4 linked regions of the Daphnia pulex genome follow. The main gene of each other region encodes a partner of the protein of the gene in region 2 in a complex. Links are inferred from orthologs where the notes say so. Each region holds a gene or a part of one and is shown on either strand. Other genes may lie near its edges.

Region 1 (3,605 bases), on a different chromosome or scaffold from region 2:
CACGAGAAGCATTCCGAGTATTTCACGTTCTAGCTGCGGAGAACAATGAACATGAATCTACTCGAGCAAAACGATACATTCGTCTATGTGCCGCTTTGCTGCCTATATATGGGTGTGTGTGTTTAGTGTTTACCAACTACCGTTACGAAATATCAAACGACATTTTAGCCTTGTACATAATCAACGGCACGTATGATGTAACACAAACTATCAATCTATCTGTTTCTACGAAATATGCTTATTATCACGACAACTTAAATTAATTTGCCTTTAGTAATAGAATAAGGATAGGAATAAGTCTTACCTAGATGGACTGCTTGCATAAAAGCGTCGTATTTCTTTAAACGTTAACGCCCTGTTTTTTTCATTATTGACTAAAAATTTGTGCCGAACGGTCATCACCTTTTAACAAATATGGGATCTAGTAATAACGAAAATTATTATTGAGTAATTAATTATGTTTGAACGTTAAAAAAAAGGGAAAATGTGTCCTGGAACAATTCAGTTTTCTGGAAAAGATCTCTGATCTGAGATCCATTTTACTTGTATCTCTCTCAACACAGTTGAAGTTTGTAAGCTTGGCAAATAGTTCTTGACAAGAGTAAACAAGAAAATCTGCAAGTGAAAAAATAAAAAAAAAAAAGCTGGATTCTGTATAAAACACGAGACCTCCTAGTTTTGATTCGTATGGGCCCATCACTCGTTAGAGAGACCAAAGAGCTTCACAGTTCCGGCGTCTCTGTTTCCGTCGTCTTTATCGTCACAGGCGTAGGCCAGCAGGTGAGAGCGTGGATGCCAGGCGACTGTGAAGGTTGGCGTGTCAACTGGAATGCTGATAACGCGCTCGCCTGTACCTACGTGGCTGACGTCGATCAGCAAGTCCTCTGACCCGGACGCCAACATGGACCCATCGTGACTGAAACTCAATGTCCGAACTGGCCAATCCAACCTAAAGGGGAAACACCCAGTCAGTAATTGAATAACCTCAATAGAAAACGGCACGTTATTATTGGCATTAATGTTACTTGGAGAAAGTGCGCAAACAAGCAATTTCATCGGCATCCCACAGAGAGACTAGGGCGTCGGCCGACCCAGTGGCAAAGTACCGTCCAGTGGGGTCGAATTCGATGCAAATGCAGTTGGCGGGGTGAGCCTGTGTGACGTGAACGGTCGTAAGCTCTGGGTAACTAGATACAAGAGAATTGATAGCGTCATGCTAGATTGAAAGCAGGGGGAAGAAAATTCATCATTACTCTAATATGTGGATGCAGCCTTGCCCACTAGTCAAAAAGAAAAGATTGCTAGCCTTGTTCCATTCTATTTCGTTGACTTCAAACTTGAACGGATGTTCTATTTTAATCTTAAAATTCCTGGCATCAATAAAAGTAACAAGGTCTTCCTTATTTCCCACTGCAATGGAATTTCCATCAGGTGACCACGTGATGTTGATATTTTCTCCTGTCAAATCACATTAATGAAGGATTGAATGTTTAAGCATAATTTCGTAATTAATTGTACCCTTGGTGTTTACTGTGGCGACACTCTTTTTAACTCTTGCATCCCAAACTCTCATGGTTTTGTCTCCACTGGCGGTGCTGAGCAAATCAGGATTGGTTTCGTGCCAACATAGCTGATCGACACTGTCATTGTGTCCCACAAACGTTTGCTCCTTAACCTGAAACAGAATGCCTCAAGCTCCATTATAATTGCTGCATGATTGATAAGCCGGGACTAATACTAACCAGTCTGTCGCTTTCCATAGTAAAAATGCACACCGTCTTGTCAAAGGAACCCGACGCTAACCGTCTTCCATCGCAATTCCAATCAACCGTGTGAACCTTGGCCGAATGTGCAGAGACTTCCCTCGTTCGAGTGTGCGTTTTAAAATGATTTTTCAGCTCTTCCAATTCGGCGACTGCCATCTTCTTATAATTTCGGGAAAAAAAAGCGGTTTATATACCTTTACTCGCGTGTCAACAAAACACAGTGTGTGCAGACGAACTAACGCGAAGCCGGTCGTCCCGCCATTTCCAATGCCAAGTCTCTTCTTCATCCGCCAGATGGCAGTTGGAGCGCGAAATTTGAAATTCCTAACTCACTAATAAAAGAAAAAAGGGGTCGGGCAAGGAATGCGTGGTGGTAATGTCGTCTCCTCAATTGGCTCTGATTAGTCGGACGTTAAACGATACGTTTATCGACTGGCTGGCCCAAAATAACAAAAATAAAATAAAAAAGGCGTAGGGTGGGCGGATAGGTGGAAATGCTTTTGTTACCAAACACGGGACACACACCGTAATCAAGCGTGACTAGTACACACACACACACACACAATGAACTCAACAAGCGAAGGGCGTCCAGCCTCTATCAGACGAGATCTAGCTGCATGAATATTATACTCTCTCTCCCAAGTCCCAGCTACACATATAAACTATAGCTGTGGAGCTTGCGCCATTTTGAATGTTATTACACGTCCGATAAATATATATATATCTACACGGCAATAATATGCGCCAAAGCCAAAAGAACCGAGTCCAAATCAACTGGGATGGGCAGCAGCAGCAGCAGCTATGCCCGTTTCTTCAAAAACTACGACTATATAGATTTCAGTTTTCTTATATTTTGTTCTTTTTTTCTTTCTTTCACAGCGCGCAATCATCAAATGATCCGTGTTTGGGCATCGGGGTAATATAAAGCAACAAAAAGTCGTAGTCTCTCTCTGCCAGTGCATGCTGGACCCACAGCGCCGGCACACAGCACATAAGACATCTACAACAACTACAACCAGAACGGCTTCTATATAACGCTAACGACTAACGAGTTAGCATCGACTTTACAAGAATTTACAGCTGTATAGTCGATGGAAGAAGAGAGCGGGGGTAGTAAGGAGAAAAAAAAGGGAAATTTACGAGTCCCCCTCTTCTTCTTCTTCTAGGAGAGAAAAGAAAAAGAAGACGGCCATAAAATAAGCAAATTTCTTGCCCGTTAACTGACGATAAAAGCGACTGGGCGTCCAAGCGCGCCTTGTGGCCTGGCCTGGCCTGGGCTGCTGCTGATGCTCCTACTGGACCTCCTTTTTCTTTGGCTGCTCTCTCCATCATTACACACACCAAAAGAACTTCTTCTTCTTCTTCTTCTATTTTGATAGCCAATCGGTCCCGTGTGTGCGTAATAACATATCGCAGTCGTAAATCTGCGAACGTCTCGTTTCGTTTTGCCCAAAAAGATTCTTTTTCTCTCTCTTTCCCTGGACCTTTTGGCTGGTCACTGGACTCGTCTCGTTGGCCTATACCCAAAGAGTAGTAAAATAAAAATATATAAGAAATAAAGGAAAAAAAAGGGTTTTTTTTCCTTCTATTTTATTTAAAACTCTTCCTTCTCCCCTTCAAATGAAAACGTCTATAGGGTAATACGATTCCGATGATACGCTTTTTTGTTGCTGGTGTGCCTCGACACTTTATGGAGATTGGACCCGCTGGCCCGTTATATATATCCCGGTGATTTACAACGCGGATATATATATATATAAATACAGCAGGGCAGCTCTGCTGTGTGTGTTGTAACATTAAGTATATAATATATATAGGAGAGTTTCTATTACAATAGGC
Region 2 (4,138 bases):
ATCATATTATTTGAATAAGCCAACTACAAAACCAGTAATATATCAAGATTATCCAGGGATTTCCAGACAAATGAATGTGAAAAATTACCTGACACCTAACAAACTCGTCTGTATTTCTTCTGGATCAACTATTTCAAAATCTTTGTTTAACAGCAAAACCCGTGCAAAAGTTATGAGTCTCGATAACAAAATTCAAAATACCTCAAAATATTAAAAAAAAATATATATATATATTCCCAAATGAGAACCTAAATCCCTGACTTTTCCCTGTATTGCAGAATGGGAACCGTGATATTCATCTGATTTTACTCTACCTGCATGTCCTTGGCCAGTTTGCGAACGTGCGTTTCCAAGTAATCTGGCAGCCGAGTGATAGGAGTATTACCATGAGTGAAGAAATGTAAACTTCGTCTAGCCAAAAGCCGCAAAGCACGCCACCCAAAATTAGCCTCACTAACTCGCCTGGAAACACGAAAATCGCTCATTCAGTTAAAACATTTTCGGAAAAATGTAAGCTTTAAAGTGCAAATTTTTACTTGTACTGGCTTTCCACTGAAGGATCCAGTTGCTCAATGGCTTCCTCAAAATAGTTTTCTAATGTAGGTAGAAAATCTCGATCTTTAGATCGACAGGCAGCCATGTTATCAGGACATAGATTCCACAAACGATTCATCTCAGCGCTAAAGAGAAAAAGCTGTAATTCAATGTTTTCAAATAATTTCATAATTTACCTACTTTCCAATAATGCACTTATTTCTTTTTGAAGCTTCTCGAATCTGATCTCCAAGACTTCTTTTGAGCCGTCTTGGTCGGCCAACTACGATCGTCTTTTTTTCTCCATTGGTACCATCTTTTATAGTATCATTATCAGTGGTTGAGCTGGTTATGCTGGGCCGGAATTCCGGGCAGCCATCGTTCTTCCAGTTGCTCCATAATTCTTCCCGCTACATCCAACAAACACCGATGGATGATATTTTTTAAAACTACTTTTATACAACTCAGTATACCTTTAGTATGTGTCGAATAGATTGGACGAAAGAAGCGCCATCTGGAGGTGTATCTTTCAATAACCGATAGACTTGATCGATAGCCTCGGAAACCCACGTAGTTTGTTCTTCGTTGAGCTTGTGAGTTTCGCTATAAATAGAAGCAATTCAAGCGGTTGAAATAGTCTAACTAATGAAACTTATTGAAACTAACTGTTTAAACTTGACAGGTGAATCCAGATATTGGAACATAATCAGAAACTGCAGCAGAATGTAACGTCTGAAGTTGGAGTCACCGAGCTGAAGTTCGAGAAGATTTTGACTCGTCAAATATTTGGCGAAATATTGTTGGACATTTCCACCATTCATGCTGGTTTCATTCATATCGATGTTTAATGCCACATCTGCCTCATCCCATTTAGAGCGGTTTCTCCGCTCATCCAGTTTGATAGTAGAAAATGCAGACAAAACATCACTAGTATGCTAAAGAATAATTGTTTTTCTGTTAGATGGAAAATTTTAACTTGAAATACTTGATGTTTTAGCTACCAAACAAAACGTTTTCCACGGGATTTTCGTATAGCACTGATTAGGGTTTCGAAAGAAATCTTGTAGGGACCAAAATTTTTTGTACAGATTGTAGTCGGAGCTCAAACTACAAAACAAGAAAATTTAGAAAAATATTGCAATAACTTGTCAATCAAATATATATACCTTTCTTCTACTTCCATTGCATCCTTGTGCTTTTCAGAATTAGCAGATATATCAGCAGCGTAGCTTTCATCTTTAGCTCCAAATGTCGTCAAATTATCCAAATTAAATTCGCTTACTACGTTAAGTCCGGATCGTTCAGAGAATGGGAAAAATTTTGCAAGAAATAGAAGAATTCGACCACAGAAAACCGTGTTCTGGCTTCGGGACAAGCGCCTCAGCAGATCTGAAAAAAAATATACATATAAAATTCATTTCAGCAACACAACTCACATAAAGCGAAACACTGTAAATGAATTTAGCAGAGTGGTATACATTGAAATAAGAGTAATGGATTGAATTCATATCAATACAGAATTAGATGCATCCAGTTACATAAATATTTGTGTCATACATTATTAGAATTTTGGAAAAATGTCTTTACATACCATTGCAAAGGCGAAGTAAGGTATTTTTACACTGATTGAAGAAAAGCTCTTGTTTCCAAATCGCTACTTTCATTTCAACCATGTAGAAAATTTCCTCACATTTTTCCAGAGACAGGATGTCAAAAGCATCTGTGAGCAAAATCACAGGCAGTGTTGGAGAACATACTAGAGCTACTGCACAATCCAGACTCAACTGCAACAACTTTTCAAACAATGGTATGGAAAAGTTTGAGGAATCACTCAAAAATCTGTCTCTAAACGCCTGATCCCATACAGCTTTTTTATCAGCTTCCCTACAATAAATATGTTTAATTACAATAATATGTAAATACTTTCTGCTTTGATTAAATTTACCCAAGATGAGCTGTATTGTTAACTGAAAGTAATTCACTGATAGTGGGTGGACCACCCAGTTTAAGAGCTTCAGAAATGGAATCCTACAGAAACCAAACACAGAAGACATAAGATTTTTCAATTTATTTCAAATATGGCTCATTGATAGATTTTTTTACTGTACCAGAAACGAACACCGAGTTTTCTCAAAATCAAATATTTCCATTTCAGTGGTTTTTTTACAAAGTAAGAAACATAAAAATAGTCGTGTTTTCGAAACGATCAGACGACGCTTCAAAACTTGGTTGCGTTGCCAAGTTTGTAAATTGCAATGTTGCCATTCTAAAATCAACTTGATTTTTTTTTCCGAATCCCGGAAAGCGGAAATTCTGGAAAGAAGTAAATGTCAAACCATTCAAGTTTAACTAATAAGTAATCGGTGATAATCAAATAATTTATCTGTTCAAAGAATATGTTTTGACTGAGATTACCGTTTTGACGTTTTCATACAAAAATGTTACTCGATTATCATCCCCTAGATGGCGAGTCGACGGATCAATAAAAATGGTGTTCTACAAAAGAGAGTCCTTTTTTGAAAAATCATCTAACGCGGGACTGCACCGAGTTTAATAAAGATAAAATTCCCATATAAAAACTACCTAATTTTAAGACATTTCTCATGTTTAATGTAATCGACAATAAGTAGCCTTTTTGAACTCAATATTTTCAATAGCATTCCAATGCTACTCATTTCACTACTAAACAATATTTAAGCGCATTCAAATACTCGAATGTTTTCAACTTCCATTCGTATTACTTTTATCATTTGATTTCCTATGAAAATCGGCAGGTATTGCCTGCCATATTACAACTACAGTATCGACTGCACTATCTACCGAGATTTCATAACCTTGTTCTAGTCTCTATATTTGAACTACCTCTGTTTGCTTACGAGCTCTGATTTTATGTCTACTTCCTGAAGTGCACCAGGAAAAGGCATAGAGGATTAGAGATATCGATTCTTTACTGCAGGGAACCGCCGTTTGTGGCACTTTTTAAAATCCTATTTCGCCTTTGATCATCTCAAATAAGAATAAATTAAAAGGAAATTATTAGTAGCATTATAAAACACCAGATAAAAGATATAAAATTTTACTTATTTCAAACCAATTTATCTGTGTCATTTGGACTGCAGGACGTCATCAACGAAAGATGACGCGGCACGTAAGCTGAAGCAAGAAACGCGAATCCTTAGGCCTTATTCTATTGTAATTAAACATGTAGATGGCGATCGCTTTGAGAGCCTTTAATGAGAAGAAGTTGTTTTCTCTGTTCAAATCGTCCCTGTGAACGAATAGAAGAAGGATGATTGCCAAAAACTTTGTCGATTTGTTTTTTATTTGCTGGCTACAATAACTCTTTGTCAAGCCTTTAATGTAATTATCTTGGGTTATTTACTCTCTGCATTGGCTAGTAACAATTGATGGGAGTAAAGGATAACTCGCAAAACATTACTATATCTCAAGCTAAAGTACGCAAACAAAACAGTCACAACGCTGTCTCCAGGGCAAAATGCCAAGATGTACTTGTACTTTGAAGTATCAAAATTGACAAAAAGTTGGTTTTTTCCCCGGTTTGCTATCAAAATTTCTCAACTTCACCAGGATAAAGGAAAAAATA
Region 3 (3,179 bases), on a different chromosome or scaffold from region 2:
ACCAATCGCTTACAAGTTGATGAATGATGATCGCTGTAGTGTTGCGTGTAACGTGTATTTATCGGGGAAAAAACAAAAACAATTCCCGATAAGCTAAAAAGAGAAAATTTGACGCCATTTCAGAATGGGCTTAAAAATTGGGTCCCAAGAATAGTGAAAAAACATAAGAAAATCATTGGGCATCACTGTATATCCTTTATTACAACAGTATCCCGGGACCAGACAAATCGACTACCGTCGTGCCGTTTAACCCCCCCCCCCCAATCCCTTATTGGAAACGTGTAAAACCATAATTGTCCTCAGCAGTAAATGATATATATAGTTAAGTTGTGCGTGCCTTGAAAAAAGAAAAACAGAAATCGATTGCCTCGCACAAGTTGGATATTGCCACAGCAATTGGTGTTCTCCTTTTACCCACCTTTTACTCCTTGCCGGAATATAGCCACGTTTCTGCGAATTGGTTGTTTGTTTTTGTTTTTTTGTTTTTTTTTGTTAAAAAAGAAAGAAAAAGACGCGAAAAGACCATTGTTTTTTTCTTCCTTTGAGATGTGTCGCTCGCTACGTAAACATTGCCTACTGTCCGAAGCTGAGCGTCGTCGTGAAAGTGCTTTTTGCGCGCACGTATTTTCATGTCAAAGCGAAATACACGGCTTGAGCATTTGTCTCATTCATTATATAACTATTGCAGCTTGAACTGTTTGCTTGTCTTAAAACACGTTACTTTTTGTCACTTTCTTGTTCTTTGAGCGGGAAAAGAATCAAAAATTCAAAATTCACTACGATGTTACGATGAAATTTAAAATCATTGATTTACAATACACACACTAGTTAGTTAAGCCAATCAGTTTTACTTGGTTTATCACAAGATATTTTATGAAGTTTTTATCAAGCTCTTTAAATTAAAAAAAAAAAATTACTTTGACAATGAGTTTGATCATTTGCGATTACAGAAATAACGTAGTTGCAATGTTTTATGCGTAGCCTTTTTGTCCGAGAAACCCATCGCTTAAAATTAATTTCTCACTATTTTTTTTCAAAATCCTACCAGAGTTATCCTACGTGGCTGATTACTTTTTCGAGGGTTTTCTTTCTCATTGTTGGCTAGTAACACACTAACATGGCAACATGACTCGGACAAACTTTTTGCATTGACGATAGGTGACACTACTTTAGTACAGGATGCGCCCGATAGAGATCACTAGTTTAGAAGCCAGCAAAAGCATACGCAATTTCTCCTCTGAAACAATACACTGGCATTCAAAAGTCGAATTACTTTCAAGTTACCGCGTTGCGCGTTCCAATTGTAATTCATTGAAAGTTTGAGACGCCGGTACAGACAAACGTCATCATTATCATCACAATCATGGACATCTCTAAATTAAAAGTAACCCGCTTAACTTTATATTTGAGTGAAACTTGTCAATATTTCCAACTTAGAATCCTGATTGAGTTTGTCAAATCAAATGTCTATTATGTTTTTGAACTAGTGATAGGCCTACTGTGTGCATTTCATCTTGACTGTTGTTTTCATGCTAGGTTGTGGACCTTAAAAAAGAGTTAAAAACACGAGGCCTCAGCACCATTGGCACTAAAAATGAATTGATGGAAAGACTGCAAGATGCTGTGCAAGGTAAACTTTTATCATTTTGATTATTAAACTGTTTCCATGTTTATGTTCAAGCTTTTTTCCGTGGATGTTAAGATGACGATACTGGAGATAATGGCGCCTTAGACAATGATGACCTTTTGGATGAGGAGGCAGTTTTAGCAGTAAGAACATTGGTTTTATACAATGTGATAAACTTATGCAATTTTATTTTTGGTATAGGATGAAGAAGCTATTTTAGAGGAAGGAAATGCAAATTTGATCGCCCAAGAAGATGATGCAGTTCTTTTAACACCTACTGCATTGAGTGCCCCCAAAGTTACAGTTGAAAAGTTAGTTACTCTGTTTGTTTGGAAAATAATTGCCTCAAGATTAATGATGAAATGAATAATATTTCAGGACTGTTCAGGACTCGAAGAATGAAATAGTTTCTCCCCATAAAAAAATCATCTTGAACAGAAAGGTGGTAACTCCTCCATCAGATTCTGGCACAGTTTCACAGGAAAATGACGACCACCTTAAATATGATGCCAATAAAGGTGATGAATCTGACTCAAAGGAAGAAAAGAAGGTGATTAAACTTGGTTCCTTATCTGCCGAAGAAAGAGCCAAACTAAGAGCACAGAAATTTGGTGTTCCTATTCCCGATTCTGTGAAGAAAGCTGTTCGAGCAGAAAGATTTGGCGGTACAAATAGCACAGAATCAAACACATCAAAACCTCAGGTATTTTCGATTGATCAGCTCATCGTTCTTCGTGTTTTCATGTAGTGAATTTTTATTTAAGGTTCCTGATAATGACAAACTTCTGAAAAGGCAAGCTCGCTTTGGCGTCGTTTCTAATTCTAATTCCGAAGTTGATGAGAAGAAACAGAAGCGAGCAGAGAGATTCGGAACTACGAGCACTGCGGTCGGCAGTTCTGACGAACAGAAGCGCAAACGTGCTGAACGTTTCGGACTTGCCTGAAATGTTCGTTTTAAAGTTTATTAATTGACGTACAGTTAAATGAAACAAAGACTTGGTTCGATCACAAAATTTTTAGTTTTTTAAAATTAAATGTGACCTGATTTCTTATCCCGATAAAAAAAAAAATACTAATTTGGTGTATACTTGAAACACATTTTCTCATGGGTCCGAGTTAGGTTGGTCGGCGGAGTTGTTTTGTTTCTAGTTTGTAATTGAAATAACCTGATATGTTGGTGCGCAATTTCACTTGATTTTATAAAGAAAAGAGCAGCATGAAACAAAGAGATGAAATTTAGTGAGGGAGTTCTAGGCTAGTGGCAAGTCGAAGGGAGTAGCGGTTTAGGTTAATGTAGAAAATTCAAGTTGGAAGGGAAATAATCGTGCAAAGGTAATAAGCAACCCGCCACTAATAAAGTGTGGGTTCAAAACCCTCACTATGTAGTGTAGGACGCTTTTTTAGAAATCTGGAAAGAGACAGCATGGTCCTATACCATGAGGGACAGGAACAGTAAGTAAGTCCCCTGTACTACAAAAGCATATTACAACTCAAATGCTGCAATAATAGGCTATAATATTTTTTTCTCTACGCGATTTTACTAGATATTCGG
Region 4 (2,831 bases), on a different chromosome or scaffold from region 2:
TATAAGGCAATTTACTCACTTAATGGACTATCTCTGCCTAATCTATCAGCCCAAACAGACCAAGGCTGGCCATGAAGACTTGTTGGACTGTCATCGTTGGACGCCATCTTTGTTAACAGAAAATTTTTTCTTAATTTCTCCTCTCCGAGACTCCGTCTTCTTTCCTCACCTGCAACAGCGTTGCAACTATAGTGAAAGCAGCTCGGCAGCTACCACTGCCCTTGATGCCTTGCCTCCTCTAATTACTCTATGGCATTAACACCCATTGGACTATTTCAAAATTACCTTTAATATAGTACTTGTATATTTTTCCTAGAATTAAAAAATGCGTTGCGTTTCTTTGCCACTTGAAGACCTTAATGTGTAAGCGTACTAAAGTTGTTGATTCTATTCGTTGGCAATTTATGAAATTTTATGATGATTTAATGATGAAATTATCTTCTAGCGAAACGTTCTAGCAATAATTTAAATCCTCAATCGTCCGTCTATTTTTTTTTTAATTTTGGCAAAAGATTTTATGCATTGCGGAACTCAAAAAGTACATTTTTCTTTGCGCTAAGTATCTTTTTACAATTTTCACACATGGACTGCAACAAGTATGACTATGAGAACAAGCTGCACATAATCATAATGACATCAACTGATAAACACATATGTGAAAATTCCCCATTGAGGTACCAAATCTCTCTCAACTCAGTTATTTTATATTACCAACCAATCAACCATCTGACATCTTGACAAATACAACCATTAATTGACATGCACCTTTTATACTTACAAATAAATGTTGTTTGTAAGTATCTTGCACCCAAAATTATTTTTTCACTGTCAGTTACACACCTGTTTAAAATGAATCTGTCAATCTTGATCACCAATCTCAATTTTCAGGACAATAAAAACAGGTTTTCCTAGAATGTAAGGCAACAGTTTAATTAAAAAGAAGAGATTGACGTTAATCTGGAAACGAGAAAAACAACACTCCAGATCCAGCATTTCATTGGATTCTTTCCTTGACATCACCTGATTGATTCTAAACCGTTCAATGGTTTCCCAAGTATATTGCTGATCTGCTGGACTAGCTCTCTTTCGGTTTTGCTAATGTTTATACAGGCATGCAAGTTTAACCCTAAACAAAATAGATACCTAATCAATCGGATGATTTTTTAAAAAGCCATGTCTCCTTCCTTTCATTTGAGGGGCGTGTCGTCTGCTGGCGGATTTAAAAAACAAAACAAAAGACGAGCGAACTACGCTTACGGCAGACGAAAATATTTTTTCATTTTTCAGTACTTTCCGGCGTTTCCGCAGCGACATTTCTCCTAGGTTTGTCATCTCATTCTTTCGCCCGGTTTGACATCTCAATATTCTCAAAGCTTTACCAGTTAAATTGTATTATTATTGGTCTTATTTTGATCCCAATCATTATTCACAAATGGGAGATGGTAATTTGACTTGTTAGTAATATTATTTCGGTTAATTTTCATCTTGTACTTCGTTATGTAGAAGAGATCATCCGAAGGAGGCTGTTGTTTGATGGCGAAGGAACTGGTGATGAAAGAAGACTTAATGTATTGCTTAAAGGTTTCCTAGCTTGGTGCAACTCTACAGATAGTGTTGAAGAAACGTAAATTAATCTTTGTATAAAATTCTTCTATACTCTATATGTGATGTATTTTTATTTGTTTTACAGACAAGCATCCTACGCTAGAATGATTGGTCAGATTGCCCAATGTGAATTTGCTGCCACAAAATCCTTGAGGTGCTGTGAAATGAACACTGCAGAACAGCAGCACTATGACGACCTCTACAACCAGATTGAAGAAGGAATTGTGTCAGCTAAAAAAGACATTGAAGCAACCAAGAAGGAGTTGCAAGAAGCAAGACAGATTCGCAGGAATAAAATGGAATATGATGCTTTGGCTGCCATTATTCAAACACAGCCTGATCGAAAGAGCAACCAAGAGAAATTATCCCTATTGCGACAGGAACTGGAAGCTTCAGAATGTGAATGTCAAAAACTGGAGGCCAAATTAGAACAAAGACGCAAACAATTTCACTTACTCATTTCAACTATCCAAGGATTACAGCAACTTCTTAACGATGATGAAGCATCCTAATAATTGTTCATTTTGTATGCATCCCTTTTTTCTATTTTTGAATAATAATGCTAACAAATAAAAATCATTTGAAACACCAAAAAAGCTATGTATGAATAAACTATCCAAACGGTACATATACGACTTGGAATGCCATAGAAGAATGTTTCAAAAAACACCACCAATTCTTCTCAACTATCCATAGACCTCTGGTAAGGAATGGGTATAGGAATGAGTGACTTAAAAAAAGGGCGTTTACAACGCAACAAGTTTTTTCGCGGCTTCGGCAATAGCCTTGGCGCCGATTCCAAAATGTTCTAGGAGAACCTCTGGAGGACCGGAGCGGGGAACTTCGCGAACTGCCAAAATCTTGACGATAATATTTCGTTGTTCGGCTAGAGTTGAAGCAACAGCCTCACCCAATCCACCTTCTGGGTAATGGTCTTCAACGGTCAAAACCCGGCCGTTGCAACGAGTGGCTTCCTTCAACAGCAAATCGTGATCAATGGGTTTGATGGTAAATGGATCGATGACAGCAGCCTTGATGCCGGCTTCCATCAGCATGTCGGACGCCTTCAGCGCTTCGTGGAGTGTAACGCCGGCGCCAACGATAACCAAATCGTCTTGATCGTGACTACGAACAACGTGACCCTTTCCAGCAGAGAAAACTTGTTCGTTCTCGTAGATGACGGCTGTGTTGGGGCGAGATGTACGAATGAAGCAAATTCCTTTGGT

Evidence for each region. The genes of interacting proteins can lie anywhere in the genome.
Region 1: THO complex subunit 1-like (region 2) and THO complex subunit 3-like share a complex: the UniProt entries of both Homo sapiens proteins name them as parts of the transcription/export (TREX) complex. The link is inferred for Daphnia pulex from reciprocal best matches to the Homo sapiens genes THOC1 and THOC3.
Region 3: THO complex subunit 1-like (region 2) and SAP domain-containing ribonucleoprotein-like share a complex: the UniProt entries of both Homo sapiens proteins name them as parts of the transcription/export (TREX) complex. The link is inferred for Daphnia pulex from reciprocal best matches to the Homo sapiens genes THOC1 and SARNP.
Region 4: the proteins of THO complex subunit 1-like (region 2) and THO complex subunit 7 homolog are in contact, whole or in part, in a cryo-EM structure (PDB 7APK), measured with the Homo sapiens proteins. The link is inferred for Daphnia pulex from reciprocal best matches to the Homo sapiens genes THOC1 and THOC7. Residues at the interface, in NP_005122.2 of Homo sapiens: Leu10, Arg14, Glu46, Gln53, Arg56, Glu60, Ile63, Ile64, Asp99, Asp102, Cys103, Leu104, Pro105, Arg146, Gln151; in NP_079351.2 of Homo sapiens: Tyr47, Gln51, Leu54, Ser55, Ser58, Gln59, Phe62, Gly65, Lys66, Leu69, Val70, Met73, Arg76, Glu77, Asn80, Ile84, Ile88.

What each region holds. Positions count from the first base shown.
Region 1 is NC_060028.1:7,657,440-7,661,044, forward strand, and holds THO complex subunit 3-like, read right to left. Parts: upstream 2,377-3,605; 5' UTR 1,923-2,376; coding exon 1,743-1,922; intron 1,676-1,742; coding exon 1,519-1,675; intron 1,459-1,518; coding exon 1,254-1,458; intron 1,188-1,253; coding exon 1,026-1,187; intron 950-1,025; coding exon 697-949; 3' UTR 501-696; downstream 1-500. UniProt on the Homo sapiens protein: Component of the THO subcomplex of the TREX complex which is thought to couple mRNA transcription, processing and nuclear export, and which specifically associates with spliced mRNA and not with unspliced pre-mRNA.
Region 2 is NC_060026.1:6,262,967-6,267,104, forward strand, and holds the start of THO complex subunit 1-like, read right to left. Parts: upstream 2,801-4,138; 5' UTR 2,685-2,800; coding exon 2,643-2,684; intron 2,563-2,642; coding exon 2,480-2,562; intron 2,419-2,479; coding exon 2,126-2,418; intron 1,924-2,125; coding exon 1,701-1,923; intron 1,642-1,700; coding exon 1,536-1,641; intron 1,470-1,535; coding exon 1,201-1,469; intron 1,138-1,200; coding exon 1,008-1,137; intron 945-1,007; coding exon 736-944; intron 681-735; coding exon 537-680; intron 463-536; coding exon 315-462; intron 1-314. UniProt on the Homo sapiens protein: Component of the THO subcomplex of the TREX complex which is thought to couple mRNA transcription, processing and nuclear export, and which specifically associates with spliced mRNA and not with unspliced pre-mRNA.
Region 3 is NC_060024.1:915,590-918,768, reverse strand, and holds SAP domain-containing ribonucleoprotein-like, read left to right. Parts: upstream 1-1,226; 5' UTR 1,227-1,363; coding exon 1,364-1,384; intron 1,385-1,536; coding exon 1,537-1,630; intron 1,631-1,702; coding exon 1,703-1,770; intron 1,771-1,828; coding exon 1,829-1,938; intron 1,939-2,005; coding exon 2,006-2,330; intron 2,331-2,391; coding exon 2,392-2,571; 3' UTR 2,572-2,679; downstream 2,680-3,179. UniProt on the Homo sapiens protein: Binds both single-stranded and double-stranded DNA with higher affinity for the single-stranded form. Specifically binds to scaffold/matrix attachment region DNA. Also binds single-stranded RNA. Enhances RNA unwinding activity of DDX39A.
Region 4 is NC_060023.1:12,053,787-12,056,617, reverse strand, and holds THO complex subunit 7 homolog, read left to right. Parts: upstream 1-1,285; 5' UTR 1,286-1,432; coding exon 1,433-1,442; intron 1,443-1,503; coding exon 1,504-1,624; intron 1,625-1,690; coding exon 1,691-2,117; 3' UTR 2,118-2,331; downstream 2,332-2,831. Other genes in the region: ataxin-7-like protein 1, read right to left, coding at 20-107; transketolase-like, read right to left, coding at 2,352-2,831. UniProt on the Homo sapiens protein: Component of the THO subcomplex of the TREX complex which is thought to couple mRNA transcription, processing and nuclear export, and which specifically associates with spliced mRNA and not with unspliced pre-mRNA.